Bombyx mori: one gene and its partner. The main gene of each other region encodes a partner of the protein of the gene in region 2 in a complex. Links are inferred from orthologs where the notes say so. Each region holds a gene or a part of one and is shown on either strand. Other genes may lie near its edges. The genes, in order: cleavage and polyadenylation specificity factor subunit 6 and transportin-3.

Region 1 (12,289 bases), on a different chromosome or scaffold from region 2:
TTTATTAGTATCTTTGGAAATTATAGATCTCTCACAATAGGACGTTATCCTTTTAATAAGAAAATAAAGTGATAACCAATGCATATTTAGTTGACTAATTAGAATGCAGTAGGTATTAAGTCCGCTAATGTGGATTAATGTGCATAGAGTATCGTATTGATTACGGTAAATAATTAAGCTGTGCTATAATTAAAGATATCCGTGTCGAAAGATTCCGCTACCCAGTTCATTGGATCGTTTCTTAGTCGTGTTTAATAACAGCTCCATCTTTTCGATTCATAAGAACTACGAAATGAATAGAATGTCTTTGTTCTATTTTCTAGTGTTTTATTTTTATTTTTGTTGTAAAATGTAATTTTTTTTTTCTTTACTTAGATTTGATCAGATAATTCTGCTGTGATGCTGATGTATAAGAGAAAATACTTCTTCTTCAGAATAATAACGTCTATAGTGAGGGATAGATCAGGGGGTATTTTTGTTGTAAAATGTAATATTTTTTGTTCTTTACTTACATTTGATCAGATAATTCTGCTGTGATGCTATGTATAAGAGAAAAGACTTCTTCTTCAGAAAAATAACGTCTATAGTGAGGGGTAGATCTCAGGGGTATTTTTGTTCAATAAAACTATGGGTTAGTCACCAGTATCGAGTTTCGAATTCTAATCTTTCTTAAACACCAACAATTTTCAATTTTAAAACGTTAATTACATACAGACGCGGGCGCACGCTATTCACACTCAAAACGGAAGCGCCCGGAACATAGATTATACACTGTGTTAAAAGACGGACACAAATACTAACTATGTATAGCGAGCGGGCATACGGCCGCGAGAGTGACGTACCGGTCGATTTGCTAAACGTCTTTTTTAAATACATCTTTAAAAATAAAATATGTGATAGTATGTTACTGCCATTTACAGGAACAATGAGGAATTAATAACAAGCCATAATAATAATAACTAGTGGCCGACGCCCGTAAACAGAATGTGCATAAGAGAAACAACCTAGCTCGCTTTCTTCCTCTCTCCAAGGTCGAGTGCGAGATGCTTAAATTCTGTATGGAATTATTGTGAAAAAATAAATGAATAAACAGATGCCGCTTTCTAAAGTTTTATGAAATTCTAAAAACTTTCAGCATCACCTTCGTTAAAAGTCTAAAAAAATATTGCAATAATATCGACTCAGCGTATTTCTGTTCTATCACGGACAACTGAACAGAAACCAGAACATTAAGTTCTGAAAAGAAAACCTCGCTTTTCATTCCACATCTGTTTTTATAAAACGATATTACTTAATATGAAAAAATATTTTGATTGTATAATATAATATTAACGGAAAACTGTTTTTTTTTTTCCTGCCTAAGCTGATAGGCTATATCAGCGTCGCCTTAACTAGTAGGTGAGCTCACGGGGCTCAACTCTGATGAGGTTGCTAACACGAACCCTAGCAAGAGCAGTGCTTCGCAGAATCTACCACCGGATCGGAAACGCAACCCACTGAGATCTGGCGAGAAACTCAATAGGCTGAAAATTGGTACAGGATAACAATCATTACACGTATAGACTAGGTAATTAATGTCTTATTTTAAACAATATGTATTAAACATTTCTTTGCTAAGTAGAAGTGTTATCAACGGTGTCCTATCCGCGTAAGTAAAAGGTAGATGACACCAGAATCTCTAATAGAAACATCAGTCTATATTCATGTATTGCATCTACATGCGTGACAGATGGACAGTATTTCGATTAGATCCCTGACCATTTAATTATTACTATATTAAAAAAAATCAATGAATCTTCGAAACTTTTTAATAAAAATGTACTCTTCACATTCCGGTAACGTAACTAATTGAAACCCACTAGATACTAAAGGATTACTTATTTAATAAAATGTAGATATTCAACTCCCGAATAGTAATAGCACTTCTCACTTTATAACTTGGATTTAGCCCGTATGATCCCTCTACGACTGTGTTAAATTTCTCAAACGCGACCGAAGCGACTCTGTGGATTTAGTTATACTAGATTCCTACAAACTTACTTCTCATATCAAAGTTTATGAATCTTGCCAATATTAATCGACGTGCCAAAGCCGTGTAGGACACCGTCTGGTTCTGACATACACAAGACCTAAGAGGATGATAATGACAGTAGAAATTCACCTGTAGGATATGCATTACCTAATTAATTCGTTGGTTGGAAATTTGACCAGTTCTAAACGTGCCGATGGCCAAAAATTTTACACTTGCCGTCCTTTCAACGGCCCAAAATTTTTCTTTCTACAATAAATCGACATCGACTTTCTACAATCGAAACAGCAGCCAGTAGGTACCCACTCACAGTTTGGTAACTTATATATTAATTTAATAAATAATGAAAATGTTTTGAAATAAATTTATTTTATTGTAAATTACATCTTAATTTACGGTCACGTCTAGTTTGTATGGAACAATCCATAAATTGTTTGAACTTAACCTAATACTTACGTTTAGACTACTACAAAATAGGAAAATACAAAAAAAAACCACGAATGAAAGTTTAAAACAATTCGCAAACATTTAGACCATGGAATGTTGTGACAAACAGCAAAATTGAATTTTAAACATATTTGGTTTTAAGGTTCTTGTTGGACTAATTCAATCCATTAACAATCAACATGAGTAATATTGATACTAAAAATTATAAAATCAGTCACAATCTTAATTTTCAGATGTTTCATGGCTTTAGATTGAAAACTGCTTTTATCGATATAATTGTGTAAAATGTTTATTTGAAATAAAAACTATTTATATTTTAATCTTTATCAATTGTATCAAAAGTATTCAAGATAATACTAGGATATTTTTGACCTTTTTCAATAAAATTTTCATTACTAGCGCACTTTTCTAATTTTGGATAATTTGCTATTGGTCGTGTTCTGATAAAATGTTTCTCTGTTTTAAATATAAAGTTTATCATCCTTTTTTAACCTTATAAATATACCATGCGTGAATGAATACAATACATTATTAGATGTTTGAAAACGACTTGTCGGCGTTGGATAGGTCTTACGTTAATTTTCTACAGTCACACTTGACTGTAATAAGTACAGTGATTTGTACCAAGAGTGTAACCAATTTTCGTAAAACAAACGATATATCTGAGACAAATGGGCATTCCGGGATAATACTTACTAATTTGTAATAAACTATTTTGTCATCTAAATTAACATAACATTATTTTCATCATCAGTGTGAATGGATATCATTTTTACCATCACTATTTAATGTTTCATGTATGAGACCGATTTTAATTTGAGATGTTTGTTTCATATGAAGTTGAAAATAATGAATATCTAATCTGTCGAATCAGGCTCTCGATTACACTAAACCGCCCTAGCAGCAGATCAACTCGATCCACCATCTTTTGATCAACAATTTGAAGCTATTTTCGTGGCAGTATCAGTAGTTCACGCACGCGGTCGTCGCCTCTGACGCACCACACAATATTAGTTTACACCAAAAGTCACTTGATTAGACTAGGCTGACGGAACGATGTCGGTGTCACCACATATAACCGCGCAGTCAATGAATTTTGATTCGCATGAACGTTGCTCAAACGAATTATTTTAAATTAAATCAATCGTTTGTTTGAATTTAGAATCAGAAACTTTCGCGCCATTTTTGTAAATCCCTTTTCCGCGCAAACATCTGTCAGAACTGTCAAGTGTCAATTTAATTCCACTTCAACGTGACGCCGGCCCGATAGCAAAAAATCTTGGATGCCCTAATTGGTCAGCTGATGTGGCGATATTGAGTAGTTCACTCAATGGTTCTTTTAGTGTCTAGTGTCTAGCGTCCCTGCGATGGTCTCGGTCGCGATCTCGATCCGCGGGCGGCGGGTCTCTGTCGCGTCTCTCCCTGTACCGCTCGTCGTAGTACGGCGCTCCAGTGCTGCGGCTCTTCGACCCGGCCTCGGCTGTGGTTCCCTCTGCTGTCGCTTCAGCTGGAGATTTACGTGCCCTGTTCCCAGCAAAAAAACACTGTTAGACGGACAAACTTAAAGACAATTTGAATTTTTACAGAAAAAAATTCTCTCTCTTTGCAGTAATCTGATATTACCAAACGGGTCAGTCAAGCTTTGAGATATTGATTATTGATCTCTAACTTCTAATTAAATTAAAAAATTAAATAGATTCAATCAATTTTTGATAGTTAAGAGCTCTGTTCTAAGTGTAAAAACTGAACTAATCGAGAATTACGCAATTTGTTACGTCGTTGATCAGTGTCTGCTGCTCGTAAATAAAAGAAAATCTTGCAACTTATCAACATAAAACAGGCAAAAGAAAACTAAAAACTAAGAATGGTGTATATTATTTTGGTTTTTTTCGAGACGGAGCTTCAAAATATAAGCCTTAAAACAGAAACACAGAAAGAAACAGATTTCTGTCTCCCTACATATACAATGCAAATTGTATTATTAGACCCAAATACAGATGGTGAATTTTTACAAAGATAAAATCACACCTCTCCTCACGACTGTGTCCCCTGTTGTAATGATCAGCACGATCGCGATCCCTCGAGCGAGACCTCTCGCGCTCCCTCTCACGGTAATCCCTGTAATACCTGAAATAAAACAACATTGATTTTCACTTACCATCTGTTTACACATAAGTAATCGAGTTAGATGTGTAGTGATGACATAACTGCCTTGTTCTAAATTACAGTAAACGTAATGGAAACGTGAGCTTTAAAAGAAACTAGTGATGATTAATCAATTGAATTCGGTAAAGATTAGTTATCGAAACGTCAATAATGAGATATACATATATTCAATATTAGTACATAGCACACTCAAATAAATATAAAACTGACCACTCATTACGTTTACCATTTCAGGTTGGTGTTATTTTCAATTTAAATCAAGGCACTTACGCGTCACGTTCACGTTCGCGGTCGCGATCTCTCGACCGTTCCCTGTACCTGCAATAAATTGCTTGCATTCAACTTTACGGGTTCCCCGGTTTTGACCTCATTGTAAAGCATTTTTTTAAAACACGGAATTCGTTCAAAAATCATTTTAATTCTCGATAAAAGTACTACTTTATATAAATTTACGAACTTACGCACATGCGTTTGTAAATTATTATTTTATTTTCCATTAAAAATTTTAAATGTTTATGTTAGTTAGTTTGTGGTAAGGAAAAATCATGACGTCCAATTAATTTAAGCTTACAGTTGTGGTTATCATTATTGGGAGATAGAGAGTATGGTGACCGTCTTTGGCAGAGTATCAGTATCCCGTCAATATCTGGCACGTTCCGGTTTGAAGAGGAACACTGCCATTATTGGGACTTTTTGTTAATGAAGTTGTGTTTTTGTTTTATTTTGTCTGTTTAGTGTTTCGTCAGGTTTAAATGTGTAATAACGGTGGTTTATTAACTGTTTAATGTCTGTGAAAGTGCACAAATGTGAGAAAATGAAACAAAGGCGCTTGACGTAACTTCTCGGGATCCTCCAAAAAGTCCACTGAAAAAATCTCAGAAAATGACCACCATTTTACTGAGATTATATTTCATCCCATATCATCTTATTTCATTTAATTTCATCCCAGCTGATTAATGTCTCTAATTAATAATATTCATTTAATTTCACTCCATATTATCATTTTTCATAAAAATAAGAATATAAATTATAATAAGATATGACTTAAAGGTCTTAGTTACCAGGTCATAAAATCCATTTAAAAAATTGCCGTTATTATAATACAAGAAACGTTCCAAATAATTAACGGCGCGTACCTGTCCCTATCCTCTCGGTCGCGGCTGCGGTCCCGGTAGCGGCTGGAAGAGCGGTCGCGGCGGCGCGGGGCGCGGTGGTGTCGCGGCTCGCGCTCGCGGGACCGGGAGCGGCGGGACCGCTCGCCGCTGCTGTAAGACTTCGTCTCGACGCCGTGCAGCGTGTCTTGCAGCGACGAGATCAGAATCTTGCAGCGGTCGTCTTGCGCCACCTGAAATATTCAATTTACATTCGTTCATTTCATTTTCCTTTATGCATAATCTACATATTTAATACGTGAAGCAAAAACATTGTATCCCTTTTAACGAAAATTGCCCGGACGTAGGAGTATGAACTTTCCCACACTTATAGAGAATATAGAGAAGAAGTGCAGAGTGCTAATATTTAAAAAAAAATGCATTAAATCAACAAAGAAAACATTACACACACTACCGTGTATTTGACACAACACATACGTATAAATATACTCTTTGTAAATTGTCAATTGTGAAACTTTTGTTATTCTTTAAAGTCCATAGTCAAATTGAGAATAGATTAGTATTGTTTGTCTTTAATATTATTTGTCTACAGTTTCACTCTCTCAAATAATAAGTGTATAATCTATGGTGGTAGAACCAATAAGAATGTTCAAACTTCTAATTTAAATTAATCATAGTCGAATTTCGACTACTGCAGGGACCACTAGTGCTAATAAAAATACAACGATGAATACCTTGCTCTGTTTAATGAGTGATATGGCGGTAACGAGCGTCTCGATGGCGGAGGCGTACTCGCCAGCGGCAGCGTCACTGACAGCCCGAGCAATGGCACTGGAGGAGACGGTGCGGTTCCTGCTCATCACCTCTTCGAACTCGGCCTCGCTGATGACCGGCATGGGGGGCGCCAGGGAGGCCGCGTGCTGTGGGACCATGGGTGCCGGGTGGTGCGGGGGACGAGCCGGATCCGCTTGAGGCGGATAGCTCTGTAACATTATTACGTGATACTAAGAGGCCCGACAACATTATTTTAATGTTTATGCTACTCTGTAGCACTATAGAAAATAACGACCTTATTTTGTTTCATAGATTGCAGAATATAGAGTTCAATTCATAAATAATGAAGTCAATTACCTGTGGTGGCCGACCGTACGGTTGTCTAGACCCGGGTGGAGGCCCTTGTGCTGGAGGTGGTGCTCCATGGGCTGGATGACCGTACGGAGCACCTGGACCTGTTCACACAAAAGATTAATCCTTTTAACTACTTGATCGCAACTATCTTGAATTTAAGGGTAGGTAAGTATTTGGGCAATTATCATATTACTTGATAAGGCAACTTGTTTTTGTTCGCTGATCACAAAGATGTATCTGTCGAATTTAACCTCTGTAAAGATCTTAACGTTTTCATCCAAATTTACGTAATATATTCGATTCGTATTCTTATATGCAATTGATTAAGAGAGTCATCACCGATGATAGTGATGTCAAAACATGAGACGATGGTTTGAGCGTTATACTGGAAATTTTGATTTTTAGATACCATCATTTATTTATGTAAAAGCTATAACTTACCGGGTGGTCCAGGTTGCGGGGCCTGCATTGGCGGCGGCTGCGACGGTGGCTGCTGGTTGAAGAACGCAGGATTCACGTGTGGTGCTGGAGCTCCAGGTATTACTGTTTAACATTAATGAAAATTGATTACTTAATTAAAATTTGTAATTTAATAAAAACGAAACAATAATTATTATAAATGACGACTTTTCTCAAATGACGCGCCCAGTTTAAAGAGCGAGACTATTATTTTAACGTTATCGAGATTTGTATCTCAAATATTACCGTGAACCACGATATTCAGATTGTGAACTCATGGTACGTATGAAAAACGAACATGAATGCATTCGTTTCTGTATATATATTTTTTTATTGCATAGATGGGTAGACGAGCTCACAGCCCATCTTATGTTAAGTGGTTACCGGAGCCCATAGACATCTACAAAGTAAATGTAGCCACCCACCTTGAGATACAAGTTCTGCTTCACTGCAGAGATAGGCAGGGTAGTAGTAACTAGCTGTGCGAACTCGTAAGAGGTCCTACCCTCAGTCTAAAAGTCAGTTTCTGTGCTAATATATGACTGACCAGGATGCTGCGGCATGGGCGCCGGTCCCCGCGGCGGCTGGTGCGGCGGCAACTGGTGCGGAGGCGGCATGCCCTGTGCGCCGGGTTGCTGAACATTCATTATTTTAATTATAACGTTTCATTATTACTATAAAGAATAATTATAATCATAGGCTTGTATGTTACATCAGCAATTTGCGAGCCCCCTGTTCCAGAATCTGAAATTTTTGCAAAGCGAATATTCAAGGGGCGAGTTCCCCCAATATGAGCCGTAAAATAATTCTTTACGATCACGTAATACGAGAGCAGATGAGCTGTACACATGAGGATGAAATTCGTATCAATCAAGAGTTCATTAAGAAGGCCTAAGGAGACGACGCCGTCATATTATTACCAATGCTCAGTTAGTATTCGAAAAAGTATGTTTAAAGACCTCCTTACATGAATTTCGTCGGCTATCTGACGGCATCTAAATTTATTGCATTTATTCTATACAAAATAATAAATTTGGATGATGTGGATGCCTAATAGTAATCACGTGTGCAGTATATACATACAGGATGAGGTGGTGGCATCTGATGCGGCATTCCATGATGGGGGGGTCCATAATGAGGCGCGGGCTGAGACATAGGATGCGGCGCTCGCGCAGCCCAGTCGGGAGGCGGCGGACGCGGGCCCGGCGCGCGTTGCATCTGCGGAGGGCCCGCAAACTGCATAGGGGGCCGGTGTGGCGGGGCCTGGTGCGGCTGCGGCTGATGTTGCATGGGATGCGGCCCGCCCTGGTGTGGGCCCATGTGGTGCGGCGGCGGCCCACGAAGCTGGTGCGGACCCGGACCTGGGAGCATCATACGAGGTCCGCCCCCACCTGGACCGTTCGGTCCCCCACCAAAAAATTCTGCGAATATAGTAACGGGTTCTTACGATTTTATGTTTTCAAGTGCACCATATTTGGGCGTCGTTATAAGCGCTGTGATCAGGGGTATCACCCCTTTAGTTACCATATACTACCCATTAGTCAATAAAAAAAAAAAATTGCTTAGATGGGTGGACGAGCTCACAACCCACCTGGTATTAAGTGGTTACTGGAGCCCATCGACATTTACAGCGTAAATGCGCCACCCACCTTGAGATATAAGTTCTAAGGTCTAAGGTATAGTTATAAAGCTGCTCCACCCTTCAAGCCGAAACGCATTACTGCTTCACGGCAGAAATAGGCGAGGTGGTGGTACCTACCCGTGCGGACTCACAAGAGATCCTACCTACCACCAGTAATTACGCAAATTATAATTTTGCGAGTTTGATTTTCATTACACTATGTTATTCCTTCCCCGTGGAAGTCTATCGTGAACATTTGTTAAGTACATATTTCATTAGGAAAATTGGTACCCACCTGCGGGATTCGAACACCGGTGTATCGCTAGAGTAATGCTCCGAATGCACCGGACATCTTATCCTTTAGGCCACGACGACTTTAGAATAATAATGATATGTTTCTACTTTTGATGTTTCGAATATTTTATCGAGACGTATTAGTATACGATTACAATATGTACCTCCGGGATGAGGACCAGGCGGCCCGCCTGGATGGGGTCCTCTCATTCCAGGATTATTGGGACCAGGAGGCGTCGACCTGGTCTTTGACTGACTTTCAAACTGATTCAACGCCTGTAGACATTATCAAAGTTTACTTACTTTCACTGAACCGAATTAATTCATCTATATATTTCCTACGCTGCTAAAACTATTATATTATTTTGATTAATATCGGTAGACTATATTAATTACCGATGGACAAAAAAATTACAAATACTAACTTAGATACTACTGTCCACCATCTCAAAACCATGTGGAAGTCAATAGCTATCATATGGCCGAAGCTATTTACTCCTCAATTTTACCAAATGGTTTGCAAATCAATTAACAGAAGCCAATCTCCATAACCATTACAAAGTCGCGGTGGTTTAAGATTCAAAATTTTCTTTTCGGATTTTTTCAATGAGTAGCCTCCGTGAAAACGATTCGGACATTATTGAAAGCTTTAATGTTGCAAAAGGTTTATTAACCACTTTAGATCCATTATTAAAAAAAATGTAAATTCCTTTTTTGTTTTAATTTAAACCACGTTTCAACACCTCATCGCGACTCACGCATTGCCCGAAACCATATTTGCAGAAACTAATCTATTACTAGGAAAGGTTACTAGGTATATTCATCATGAAACTATTTGTGCAATTCATAAGTACCTAATCATAAACTATCTATCTAGTGTCTACTTATTATGCTCATATTTTGTATCAGTTAACATTGACCTTACCTGTTTAGTAGGCAATGTAACTACTGGATGTTGCCCGTGTATCTCCTTCTTAGAAAGACGTTCCATCACCATCCTGACTGATTGATCTGAACCGAGAGATATAACGCAGAATCCTTTGGACTGACCATTGGCTCTGTTCTCAAAGAACTTCACATCTTGAAAATCGGAGACACCGACATCCGAGATCGCGTTCGCAATATCTTGGTCCGTTGCCCACTGGAAAAGGTTTTACACAAAACTCAGCCACGCTGCAAACAGGCAGCCAATACACACAAGTCACATACATCATTTATTATGCCATCCAGTCCACTTACATGCCACTTAAACAAAATCGGTCGGGGTAAGGTTCAATTTAAAGCGCCGTTCACACGCCGTATTAAGATTTTTTTCATTAACACCGAATTATCGAGAAAGTGAATTTACAACACCGCGCTTACGTCTCATAGTAGATCCGATGATTAACGTGAATAAAAATATTTTGAATACTTTTGTGTACCTTTTGACGCGAATTAAAAATCTACAATGTACTTTTCATCAACTAAATCATTAAATATGCCGGAATAGAGCTTTGGGTGAAAAGAAAGAGCTTTTTTGTGATCATACTATTTATTTCTTTATCACAGATAATTTGCATTATAAAGTTTTTTTACAACTCCGAATACTCCAACGGTTACATACTGAAAAAAAACTAGAAGGAAAACAACCATTAACAAGGTAATTATAACATGAACACATTACTTGTAAATGGTATTTCACAAGTCAAATGAAGAAATAAATTTAACATGTGGCTAAACACACACTGATTTTTTTTGTGTGCAAATCAGATAACAAAATTATCGTATCCATGCACTGATACTAGATAGATTTAATGCAATTAACAAAACTTGAAACGACAGCTGTTGAAAGTATCCTTTACAAAGAAAATAAATACTCTAAAATACACACATACAAAAAGTGTTAAATATTATTTATAATTTACACAATCAGTTGATGTCGCGGGGTTTTTTTGTAAACTACCTACATTATTGTTTAGATTAATTTGCACAGAGCAGACGAAACAGTTTGGACCAGGCGATTTGTTTGAGTTATATAATTTATTTATTTTATTTGTTACGTATTACAACATTTATTGTTCGCCTCTACATTTCGCACAAGAATGTTGATATCTCTTCAACATAAGTATCGAAAATCTTCAGATGTATGCAAAAAAATAGCAAAACATATGTTAAAATAATTACTAAAAAACTATAAATACAATACAATCAATTACCTTACCTCGTAACAAACCTGATAAAAGAATAAACAAATCATTACAGATGGGGATGTCAGAAAGTGAAAACTTTCAGCTCAATATCCCAATTTATTGATCAAACACAAGCGGGACAAATAGCCAATTTTACACTACTGATTCTATTATGTACTATGTGATGACTATGTAATGTTTATTTTTTTTTTTGCTAATTTAGCCTATCAATAATCTGATACAGGTAACTGTTTTTCTGACTAAACCGCAAATTTATGGATATTCAATAAATAAACACAACAACATTTTCGGAACGATATATCAAAATTTTGTGTGCGTACAAAATCACACAAACGGTTTCAAAACTTGTTGCTGCAGACATGTTACATCATAATTAAGCAAGTTACTGTAGTGTAGTTAATGGGCAAAAATGGTATTTATATTAATTAGTACATCAACTATTATAAATAAGATTATACATCCTTTCATACTTCATCTCTCACATAATCTTACCAAACCCACATCTACTTGTATGCAAAATATAACTGCAATCTGTGTTGTTTAAGTACACAAACAGAATCCATCTACGTAAACTACGCCAACTCGATTTTGATGATATTCATTTTCTACTGCTAGTATCTTTATGATATGATGATATATATGATTTTATTGTAAAACTCACTGTCTGTATATTTTTGCTATCGATTTGGCTCTATCTCGACAACAGATAGCCTCAAAAGTAGAAGTACAAAACAAACGGAAGAATATAATATAACTTAGCAGTATTATGAAAGGTTATGTAATGCTTTCCACATGAAATAATTTACAATAAATTGCATTACTAAAACAACTAAAATCATATTTA
Region 2 (12,289 bases):
GGATTTTTCCGTACTGAAACAAATAACGACGCGTTGTGAAAATCATACATACTAGTAGACTCGAGGGAACTCCGCGGCTTACGATTTCTACATTTCTATGAAAGTGAAGATTTCTTTAGCATCTTTGTGATCAGAAACTGACATAAATATCTGACTGACATATATACTGATATATATAGTTCGATGGAACGAAAACAAACAAAAAATGTGTATGTGTGCAAATCACTGAAGTCACACACGGTAGAAGTGAAACTTTTGAAATTTATAAGAAATAAAAATAATCGCAAAGGTCACTATGTGGAGCGCTTCGTGATTTGTCGGCGCCGCTCGCAGTCGCTTCGTCAAGCCAATCGCGGCACACTTATTTTTTCGTTTCGTTTCGTTTCATTTCGTTACATCGAGTTTATAATCACAACGATTCTAAAGAAGTTTGGCACGAACGCGCTGCGGGGGACCGACCTGCGCGCCGTGTTGTGGAAGTGCTGCGCCTGCAGCAGCGTGGCGGCGGCGGTGTGGCGCGCGGGCAGCTGGCGCACGGCGGCCCCCAGCCACGCGGCGCCGTGCCGTCTCTCCGCGCGCGCCAGCTCCAGCAGCACGTCGGCGGCGCCGGGCACGAGCCCGCGGTGCAGGTGCAGCACGCTGGCCTCCAGCACGGCCGCCGTCAGCGCGCCGCCGTACGTCACCACCAGCTCCTCGGCCAGCGCTGCAGCAGACGGCACGGTCAGTAGTGTGGCGGGCGGGGGGCGGGGAGCGCGGCGGCGGCGGAGAGTGCGGTACCCTTGGCGTGCTGCGCCTCGGCGGTGTCGGGGTGCGCGGTGTTGGCGAGGCGCGCGAAGTCCGCGAGGAAGTTCATGAGCGAGGCGCTGGCGTCGCGGTGGTCGAGCGCGGCGGCGGAGCACGCGCACTGCAGGATGCTGCCCATCACGCCGCACGACAGCAGCTGCACCGGCATGCGCTGCAGGAACCTGCGCGCAGACCGCGCCCGCGAGGGCTCACTCACCAACATTTCCTAGGCTATTATACATTTAGTCCTTCAATGACCCAAAACAACTATTTCAACCAGTGAACTAACTAAACTTTATTAAAGTTCATATTAATTCATTAGCGCCGTATTATTGATCACGACTAACACGTGGCTATGCATGATATGACTTGGAATATTTAATTAGTTTTTTATTAACAATGGAACCAAACACATGTGATTTTGTTGATTTAGAATGGTCGACTAAATTGAATAACAAGTAAAAATTCATTTAAGGTTTAAGTAACCCATTATTTCCATTTTATTTCACTCTCGAAAGACTAAAGTGCTCTATGAAATTAAAACTTTGTATTTTTTTATGTAGTGGGTGTTTTATAGCTGTAACTATAAAAAAATTCTTCAGTATATTCATAATAAAAATATTAATTTTCTAAAAAACTTTTGTGTTCCTTTATTTTTAGGGGTATGAATATAAAGATTTGATAGGTTTCTTGGATAATGATGATGAAAGCTGCAATGTCGAAGCGATTTGTATCGAAGTGCAGAACCTGCTGAATATTCCGGTGAAGGTTTGGCAGAAGTGCGGACGGCCACGCAGACAACTTGAGTGGACGTAGACTTTTATTGGATTTTGACATATACCAGGGGAACAACCCTAGCTACGAACCCCAAACTAGCCACGAGGTGTATATGAAACTGAGTTTAAAAAAGCGGCAACATTGTTAATGCAGATATTTGATAGTTTGCTAGAACAAGGCTGTCCAAATTACATACCTTTGCGGGCTAATTAAACTTACTACATAAGCTGGAAAGTATAAAAGTGGCTGGGCCACAGAAAAATATACTTTTAAAAATAGAATATTTTCCGGGAGCTCCCCCAATATACAAGTACAAGATACACTTTTATATGATCTCAGGGGAATGGAAGGTTACAAAAGAATCTTTGATAAATTATACCAAATATTGGTTATATGTTTTGACAAAGTGTTCTATTATCCAAAACATTTTCTAATTAAAACATACAAAATGTATTTAACATTACAACAAAAAGTTTTTTTTTTTTTTTTTTTTTTTATTGCCCTTGTAGGCAGACGAGCATACGGCCCACCTGATGGTGAGTGGTTACCGTCGCCCATGGACTTCAGCAATGCCAGGGGCAGAGCCAAGCCGCTGCCTAGCGCTTAATACTCTCCACAAGCCTCGTTTGAATTATTTATTAATTATTTTAATTAATAAATAATTAATAATTACGTAATTATTAATTATTAATAATTACGTAATTACACTTCAAAAATGGTTCCACGTAAATAGCTACTGCGGAGGGCGGGGCTTAAAATAGCTACAGAACGGCGCGCCAGTTCGCTGTGGCACTCGTGTCGTGCGGTCGTGTTGCCTCAGTTTTCGGTTGACCAGATAATTATTATTTTGCGCTTTTTAATTTTGTAAGTATGCAATCGTGTGTCGTGAAATGGTGTAAAAGCCATACAGATATGAAAAACAGCTGAATTAGCTTTCATAAGTAAGTATACAAACATCGTAAAATTTCATACTATTGGTGATGGACAATGTTATGCAATATGCACGATTACTTTTTCTATGCAGTAGTAGTTCTTTATACTGCTCGGATAAAACATAAGTTTTATTTAAGTAACGAGTATGACATTATGCAGCGATAACAAAAGATTTGATTACTGCAGATTTCTTAAAGATTTCCTACAAATGAAATTCAACGTAAAACATGAATAGCCGCTTGTGATAGTACGCTTGGAAAGAAATTAAATAAATTGGACACTTTCAAAAAGAGGCCATGTACATACTTGAAAGTGGTATTCGTGTGCCTTACACCTTGTATACTAGTAGTAGTAGTAGTATTGATTTTAAGATTAATCATCATATTTTTAACTCATGTACTGACTTATAAACTGCATTTATTTCTATTGCAGTAATAAAGTCATTTAATAAAAAAATGAGAAAATATTTCATAAATTCATTATTACTGCATAATGTCATCGTCATAAGGGTGCGCTTGCAAACCGTCACGTTGGCGCGACCAATCGCGTGCAAGCGTTTGTTTATGAAAGAGTATGAGTGTTCGTTGTATTTGCTTTTATTTGTGTGCGTAAATGGAACCATAATCTAAATTGGAATTGAAGGCGAGTTACTGTTCCATAGTTTTATTATTCGTAGTATTTAGATATTTCGCGTGTTGTGGACTTGATATTATACTTGAAGTAACAATAATGAGGCGCTCTCTGACCTGATGAAGAGCCGGAACAGATCGTCGACGGTGTCGGGGTGGTCCCTGAAGCCGTGGTCCCGCTGCAGCAGCGCGAAGGCTGGCGGCAGCAGGTCGGCCAGCAGCCCCGCCAGCGCCGCCGCGCAGCCCGGCCGCGCCGCCAGCTCGTCCACCAGCACGGAGCACAGGTACAGCACGCACGAGTGCGCGTGCCGCGGGTACAGCTGCGCCAGCGCGCCGCACAGCGCCGGCAGCAGCGCCGCGCCCGCCCCGCGCGCCGCCCGCACGCCGAACCGCGCCGCCCGGCACACGCGCTCCATCACGCGCTCCTCGCCGCCGAACCTGCAGGGTGCACGCGGTCAGTGCGGGCCCCACGCGCCTGCACCACGCGCCCGCACCACGCGCCGCCTACTCACTTGTCCATGACGTCGATGAGCACGGGCCACGCCTCGGTGAGCGCCGGCAGACACGGGTGCGTTTCGGACGCCGCGACGTTTTTGAGGTCGGCGGAGAGCGTGAGGTCGCGGTACAGCGCGGCGAGCCGGTCGAGGTACAGCACGGGGTCCGACGTGGTGCCGCGCTTGATGGGCTGCCGAGCCGAGCACAGCCGACGGAGACCCTCCAGTTGGGGGGCTGACGCTTCGCAGAGGGCTGCGCTCATCTGAAAACAATTATTGTATTCTTTGTATTCTGATTGACAACCTGAGTTATTAGCAATATTAAGGATATAACCATATTAATGAGTACAATAAGTCCGTGCGGTAAGGTATGTGCGGGTACCTGGTCGGGCGGCAGGCTGGCCACGACGGGCGCGACGGCCCGCATGAGCGCGGCGGCGGCGGGCGGCGGCGCGGCGAGCTGGTCCAGCGCCTGCACGGCGCCCAGCAGCTTGCCGATGTGCTCGGCCGCTCCGCCGGGACACGCCTTGCAGATGTTCTGTTGCGTGACGTCACAATGTAAATGACCTTGGAACGTAATGTGGGAGTCCTGATGGTGTGGGGACGCGCTCACCGAAATACTAAGTAAAACTTAATATAATTACTACAACACTTAAACGTCAATGTCACAATTCACTTTTCCACTTCGCTTCAGGTGTTCTGTTCGCTGGTTCGCTTCGAGTAGAATTGTTTAGTGACTGCCTCCACGTCCTCTCTACAATTTTCTATATCCGTTTTCGCTTTTTACTAACAGATTATCCGCGCCACCACATCACTTCTCTGACACTCCCGACGATATTAGTTGTTTTGATATCCGCTTCTGATATTTGTTGACAGATGGCGTTACTCGTACCGTACGTAACAGTGAGAAATTATTTGAGGCGAACATGCTGCTACTACGGACATGTAATTCGAAATTACAATTTTTTGAAATCATATTTTGAAAACAAGAGGGAACCCTATTATTCAACTTAAATTATACTTGATGTTAGGAGACCGCTTCCGAAAACGAAGACAGAGAACAGTACTAATGACACCTTTGATGATGGGACAGAAAAATTCGATCCTGATTTTAAAACGTTTGATGATGTAAATAGGGTTCACTTTGATTTGCGTACTATCCGTAAAGAAAAACTGCGTGTGTTTCAACGACATTTATTGAGCGACTGACTTAAGTTTTGACAGGTAAGACGATCATATTTATCAGAGTATATAACCACTACGTTTTTACCTTGATCTTGCGCCAGGCTGATAATTAATAACAACAACGTTTTATTAGCATTATTTACGCCCCATCACGTTAGTACAGCTAAAATCAATGATAGTTTCATAAAAAATACATTACTTTACTAAAAAAAAAACCAGCAATGAAACACAAAGTCAAGAACAGCTGACGCTCGGATCAACGAACGCCCGGGCGCGACGTTTCTTATACATGCACACCGGCGCGGCGCTGAGACCGCGCTCCCCAAATTTTACAACTTTGTAGGTACAACATTTTCGTTTTCGGGAACAGTCTCCTAACACCCAGTATATATATATCGACGCTTGAAAGGCAAACGTGACTATGCGACAATAACTGCTTTGTACATAAATGATAGGCAATAACCATATTGGATGCGCAAAAAAAAAAAATTATATTTCTAGGTCTATTAAAATAATTCCAATCCTACCGTTAGATTCGTTAAAATAGATTTTTTTTCAGGTATTTCAACTTTAAATTATTAGTCTACTGTAAAGTTCACGCATTGTCGCTTAGTCACGTTTGCCTTTCAAGCGTCGATATGTAGAATAGGGATCGCAGCGCATAAAATAAAACTTCCACTGTTCAACAAAATAAAATCTTCTGTTATAATAATAATTTAAAAATTAATTAACACTTTTATTACGCCTTGCTCATTTTTGAACCGTCTTCGCCATCTTACTTTTCTCTATCATTCTGTCTGTAATTCTCTTCTCTCTTTCTTTCCGTTTTCTCTCACTCACATCTTAACGCTCCATTCCACACTCTTTTCATACGTTCCTTTCTTACTAATCCTACATATATTTACGATATATACACATATTAGACACCAAAACATAAAAAACCTGTTCATTGACGATACTGTAAAAATTCTCCATAGCTTGTCGCTAACAGTCCTTTTAAGTGTTAGGCTATCAGTGTAAGGCAGCCTTTCCCAAAGTGGGCGATAACGCCTACTCGCGGGCGCTGCAGGCCTAAAGGGGGGGGGCGGTAAGAAACCCAGAAAAAAATGGGGGCGTTGTGTAGAGACTTGGGAAGCGATTTGTAGCTTCATCTAGGAGGACTCTTAGACACCGACTGAGCTCTCGCTAGTGGTTTTTAAGTAAGTGAAAAAATAATTGATTCTCAAAGTGGGCAGTAGACAAAATAAGTTTGGGAACCCTTGGTGTAAGGTGACGTTACCTGCAGCGCGGTGGCGGCGGGCAGCGCCAGCCGGGGCTGCGGCAGGGCGGCCAGCAGCATGGCCACGCAGGGCGCCAGGCACGACGCCGCGTGCCGCTCCACCCAGTCCGCCAGCTCGCCCAGCAGCAGGATGCACGTGGCGCGCACGCCCAGGTGGCTGCTGGAGGGCATCGACAGTATCGCTTCCACCACCTTCGGCACGTATTCGTATTCATCCCTGGGAAACAACAAATCTATTTTTATAAGACCCTTCACAGAGTTTTTCTTAATAAAATGTGTAGAGGTATTTTTCATTGAGCAGTTTTTTTCCCTATCTATGCTGATAGCCTTGACAGGCTATTACAGCTTCAGCCTAACGTGTGTAGGTGAGCTCACGGGGCTCAAACCGGAGTGTTGCTAACACTAACCCTAGCAAGAGCAGTGCTTTGCAGCATCTACCACCGGATCGGAAACGCGACCCACTGAGAAGATCCGGCGAGAAACTCAGCGGGATGTATATTTATTTAGATACCGTTTGGTCTTCTTTGATCATTTGAAGTTTAAACCTTAGAGCGCGAACCGTCGACAGACCGACTCTATGAATGCGTATAGAGTGTGAAGCGTCAGAATAGCGACTATTGCGCTGTCTTATAATAGGTATCGATCATATAACGTTTCTATTAAGTAAATAATATTTATTACTAACCATTTAAAATTATTACATACATAGTACTTATTACTTTTTCGAAATTCTCGGATTAAAAAATGTACTCGCTGATATTGAAAAGTCTATTGGATATTTTGAGTTGTTTTTTACTTCTCTGGTCATCAAAACAGCAGTAAAAACATCCCAGGGATACCAACCAGATCCAAACAAAATTTTGGTCTAGAGGTTAAAAGGGACGAAGCTACCACCGCCCCGCCTATTTCTGCCGTGAAGCAATAATGCGTTTCGGTTTGAAGGGTGGGGCAGCCGTTGTAAATATACTGAGACCTTAGAACTTATATCTCAAGGTGTGTGGCGCATTTACGTTGTAGATGTCTATGGGTTCCAGTAACCACTTAACACCAGGTGGGCTGTGAGCTCGTCCACACATCTAGGCAATAAAAAAGAAAAAAAATACATACACTTATATGACTGTTTCATTTGAGCAGTTTAACATGTCCCTTACACATAGCAGAAAGAATTACGAAAATTCCTCTACATTTGAGGAGAACAATAAAGATTCTGTGCACACTTAATTAATAAGGTATTTTTTTTTCACAAACCTTTAGCACTTTTCGCGAAATATGTGAATTTAAGCTCAGCACTAAAATAATTAAAACACTGCTATATACATGAGCTCTACCCGGACGACAAATAGTATGAGGGTGGATATCTTGCGGTATAAAATAGGTAGTCATCATCATCATAGTTATTACACTAACAATAACATCCGTTGATAGCATCAATCCTCATCATATGCCCAAGAAGGGTGACCGGTCGGACCCATCGAGTTATAGGCCTATCACGATAACTTCCTTGCTTTCCAAGGTGATGGAGCGAATAATAAATACGCAACTCCTGAAGTATCTTGAGGATCGCCAGCGGATCAATGACCGACAGTACGATTTCCGTCATGGTCGCTCAGCTGGCGATCTTCTTGTATACTTTACTCACAGGTGGGCTGAAGCCTTGGAAAGCAAGGGCGAGGCTCTCGCTGTGAGCCTTGATATCGCGAAGGCCTTCGACAGGGTCTGGCATAGGGCACTTCTGTCGAAGTTACCATCGTACGGAATCCCCGCGACTCTGCAAGTGGGTCGCTAGCTTTTGGATGGGTGGAGCATCACGGTCGTTGTAGAACGGCGACGCAATTCCAATGAGTATCCCTGCAACCTTCCAAGGGCATTGGGATACTTGGGGTCGACATTTCGAGCGATGTCCAATTTTCAAGTCATTTGGAAGGCAAAGCCAAGTTGGCGTCAAATATGCTGGGATTCTTCAACAGAGCGAAGCGGTACTTCACGCCTGGACAAAGACTTTTGCTTTACAAAGCACAAGTCCAGCCTCGCGTGGAGTACTGCTCCCACCTCTGGGCCGGCTCCCAATACCAGCTTCTCCCATTTGACTCCATACAGTAGAGAGCCGTTCGGATTGTCAATAATCCCATTCTCACGGATCGTTTGGAACCTCTGGTTCTGCGGAGAGACTTCGGTTCCCTCTCTATTTTGTACCGTATGTTCCTTGCGGGGTGCTCTGAGGAATTGTTTGAGGTGATTTCATCATCTCGTTTTTATCATCGAACCGCCCGCCACCAGAGTAGAGTACATACATACTGCCTGAAGTCACATTTCCAGAGATCATTTTTGTCTCGTACCATCCGCCTTTAGAATGAGGTCTCCCCTCCACGGGGTTTCCCGAGCGCTACAACATTTCCTTCTTCAAACCAGGCTTGCAGAGACTATTAAACGGTACTAGGCTGCACTAAAAGTATCGGGAATGGAATATTTCCACTGTTCCTGTCATATTAAAATCTTTTTAATTGAAAACTCCTTGGTTTTAAAAATCGAATACCATTTATTTATTTAAAAAAAGTTTCTCGGTCTTGTTTTGTCAAACGAGGTTTTGTCAAACTTGTTTAGTCGTTGAGAAAATGGAATTGACTCGAGAAAATTCAAGAGCGATGATTTATTATGACTTTCGAAGTGGTTTAACACAAAAACAGTGTGTTGACCGGATGATTTCTGCATTTGGTGATGAAGCCCCATCCAAAACCACAATTTATCGCTGGTTTGCTGAGTTTCAACGTGGACGTGTCAAGCTCAGTGATGATCCCCGTCAAGGTCGTCCAAAAACTGCAGTCACCCAAGAAAACATTGATGCTGTGCGTAAGCTGATTGAGGAAGATCGACATGTGACATACCACGAAATTCAGGCAACTTTAGACATTGGCATGAGTCAAATACAAATAATCTTGCATGAACAATTAGGTGTAAAAAAGTTGTTTTCCCGATGGATACCGCATTCGCTCTGTGAAGAGCAAAAAGCGGCTCGCGTTACTTGGTGCGTCAGAACTCTCGAAAGATTACACGCAGGATCCTCAAATGCTGTATACAACATTGTATCAGGTGACGAATCCTAGATATACGCGTACGAACCCGAAACAAAAAACCAGTCACGAGTTTGGGTGTTCGAAAAAAGTTAAAGCCAACAAAAATTGTTCGTTCACGGAGTGTTGCAAAAAAAATGGTGGCCACGTTTGTCTCCAAAACCGGCTATGCTACGACTATTCCTCTTGAGGGACAAAGAACGGTTAATCCAGAATGGTATGCTAGCATTTGTTTGCCACAGGTCGTTTCTGAACTCCGTAAAGAGAACTGCAACCGCCGCATCATCCTCCATCACGACAATGCGAGTTCTCACACCGCGCTCAGAACAAAAGAGTTTTTAGAGCAAGAAAACATAGAATTATTAGACCATCCGCCGTACAGCCCCGACCTAAGCTCTAATGATTTGTATACTTTCCCTAAAATAAAGAATAAATTGCATGGACAGAGATTTTCATCACCTGAAGAAGCTGTGGACGCCTACAAAACGGCCATTTTGGAGACCCCAACTTCCGAATGGAATGGTTGCTTCAATGATTGGTTCCATCGTATGGAAAAATGTGTCAAATTTCGCGGAGAATACTTCGAAAAGCAATAAATACATTTTTAAATAGTAATGTTGTGTCACTTCGTTAATTCCCGAAATTTTCAGTGCCGCCCTCGTAAGCAGCAACTTGGCTCTGCCCCTGACATTGCTGACGTCCATGAGCGACGGTAACCACTCGCCATCAGGTGGGCTGTGTGCTCGTCTGCCAATAGGGCAATAATAATAAAAAAAGAATAAGAGCACTACACAGTTTTGTTTTGTTCACTATTGCGTTGGAAACTTTTATCTGCAGAATGAAATAGTAGAAATGACTGATACTAAGGACAATGAATCGACTAGCTAATAATTAATTTAAAGTAATAGTGTAAGATGATTTTTAATACACAGCCATGAAACGAAAATCATGGTTTAATATTTGTTAAACCACAACACTGACTGATTTTCTCCTATGTGGTATAATCAAGTGCATGAGTGCTTCAAGAATTAACATTTCTGTATAGAGGATGGATATGTAAAGACCTTTGAATAAAGGTGACAAAGTTGTCACAGAAATAACCCCTACTTGCTCGTCAAATAATGTAAGACCTCGCATAGCTCGGAAAAACAGTTTTAGCAACAACCTGCAGTTAGAAACTATAAGTTATCCTCCATATTCGCCAGACCTAGCCCCAATTGATTACCCCCTTTTCCACAATTCGGACAATTTCCTGCAAGGAAAAAATTTTGTTCTCAGGAAGTGGTACAAAACACCATTGTAGACTTCAGAGAGTACAGATCCTGAGATTTTTTTTTCTATAAAGGCATAAGTTGCCTTCCCTTGAGATACTACAAATTTATGGATAAGGGGGGTAAATATTGAAATAAGTTTTTCTTAAACACAATATTTCAGTTTTCTAATATGAAATGTAAATAGAAATTTCATGCTTTAACTTTTAAGAGCAAATTTAAAAACTTACGGTAAGATATTTCTAGCAACAGATTGCATAACAAAGAGAGCAGCTTCTGTCTGTTCCCATGAAATGTTAGATTGTAATGCAGCAAACATTTGTCTGAAAACTGAACTTGATCCCACTATGAACACCACATCCTTGATCAGACTCATCACTTTTTGACGGAATTCCTGTAACAATATTGATTAGGGTAATATTGATCTGGGTATCTTCAATATACACTATTATTATACTTATACTAATACTAATATTACTACATAAAAATATTCTAACTAACAGTAAACTCTTGGCACTTTTTTTTTAATATCCAATTATTAAGTTTTCATAATAAGTTTTGAAAGCATTGCATAGGATTGTACCACCACTCTACCTGCTTTTTATCCAAAGTAATCATGAATTCCAGTTTGCAGGGTAGTATATATATATATAGTATATTCACCACAATTGAGACTTCAACTTTACTTGTCAATATATGTGGCAATATTGATGTTCTGACATCTAGGGGCTCCATTTACATAACATTAGATGTCCAAGTGAAAGTGTGAGCTTGTCTACTATAATCGCCAGTAAAAAAGCAAGTATCACAGCTGGGGTAGCTGGGGGTAACCACAAGCATACTTTTTGAGCAGTTTTCTTTTGCTTTTTATTAAATTAAAATATTTCCAAATGCAGAAAAACTATAATTTCCTATAACCTTGACACTGCAAAAATTTAATAGCAATATCATTCATTTAACATTTCGTCGTTGTCAAACCAAAATCTGCTGCTATAGTTCTTAAAAATTCACTTTTATATAAAATTTCATACGATAATGTTTTTACTCGTTAATTCAAAATAGAGTTTTTGCACATAGATTTTGGTTTGACAGTGACGATTTTCAGACATGTTGTCTGAACTCTTCCTCATAATTGTATTTCAGGCATCCTTATGAATATACACACAGTACTGAGACAACAAACTTATCTGTTACAAAGTTTTAAAAGACCTACATAAAAATCATCAGTTTCGTCGGGCAATTGTGTCAAGTCAGGTTCACATTGACAATGCCTTGCCAAAGCTTCGATCAACCTCTCTATATGAGGTTTAAATGCATCTGTTAATGGTTGGTGATCTCTCCTGTACACTTCCTCTGATAATCTGTACCATAAATTAAATGTTATTTCTGCCACCTGAAAAAGAATAAGAAAAATTCTGAGTACTTTTATATATACTATAGTTATTAATATTCAATATAATTGTGCGTGGAGCATACAGTTAAGTGCTATGGATATTTTAAATATCATTCATTATAATTTCAAATTTAGACCCCATGTCTAAAGATTAGACATGTCTAAATGACAAGATAAAATATTCTAGTTGTAGGCCTGAGGGAATCATATGATTAACATCATACTTAACATCAAGTAGAATGTGTTTGTTTATATTTAATTAATCTAAAAGCTTATTAATCCACAAGAGAAATGGTATCTTCATCTGCATTATCTATCTGTTAACTTTGTAATAGTTACATCACTATTACAAGGCTTACAAGCACTATTAATAGTAGAAATTTAGGATTTAAGATATACATCTTGGGAGATTTACCAGAAAGGAGAGTATAAATCAGTTTATATAGATATAAACAAAATTCTCAGGTAAGAAGTAAT

What was found.
Region 1: the proteins of transportin-3 (region 2) and cleavage and polyadenylation specificity factor subunit 6 are in contact, whole or in part, in a crystal structure (PDB 6GX9), measured with the Homo sapiens proteins. The link is inferred for Bombyx mori from reciprocal best matches to the Homo sapiens genes TNPO3 and CPSF6. Residues at the interface, in NP_036602.1 of Homo sapiens: Arg620, Asn656, Arg657, Glu660, Arg661, Arg664, Arg667, Phe668, Arg671, Ser698, Cys699, Tyr702, Ile706, Asp709, Asp747, Asp750, Asp751, Arg754, Arg758, Gln761, Cys793, Arg797; in NP_008938.2 of Homo sapiens: Tyr521, Arg522, Glu523, Arg524, Ser525, Glu527, Arg528.

The regions. Positions count from the first base shown.
Region 1 is NC_085120.1:8,915,862-8,928,150, forward strand, and holds the end of cleavage and polyadenylation specificity factor subunit 6, read right to left. Parts: intron 10,398-12,289; coding exon 10,182-10,397; intron 9,533-10,181; coding exon 9,421-9,532; intron 8,763-9,420; coding exon 8,425-8,762; intron 7,977-8,424; coding exon 7,889-7,976; intron 7,426-7,888; coding exon 7,324-7,425; intron 6,984-7,323; coding exon 6,886-6,983; intron 6,738-6,885; coding exon 6,489-6,737; intron 5,988-6,488; coding exon 5,779-5,987; intron 4,961-5,778; coding exon 4,913-4,960; intron 4,604-4,912; coding exon 4,505-4,603; intron 4,001-4,504; coding exon 3,823-4,000; 3' UTR 2,380-3,822; downstream 1-2,379. UniProt on the Homo sapiens protein: Component of the cleavage factor Im (CFIm) complex that functions as an activator of the pre-mRNA 3'-end cleavage and polyadenylation processing required for the maturation of pre-mRNA into functional mRNAs.
Region 2 is NC_085118.1:956,852-969,140, forward strand, and holds part of transportin-3, read right to left. Parts: intron 11,813-12,289; coding exon 11,633-11,812; intron 10,814-11,632; coding exon 10,650-10,813; intron 6,298-10,649; coding exon 6,081-6,297; intron 4,155-6,080; coding exon 3,999-4,154; intron 3,880-3,998; coding exon 3,635-3,879; intron 3,561-3,634; coding exon 3,240-3,560; intron 966-3,239; coding exon 778-965; intron 704-777; coding exon 460-703; intron 14-459; coding exon 1-13. UniProt on the Homo sapiens protein: Importin, which transports target proteins into the nucleus. Specifically mediates the nuclear import of splicing factor serine/arginine (SR) proteins, such as RBM4, SFRS1 and SFRS2, by recognizing phosphorylated SR domains.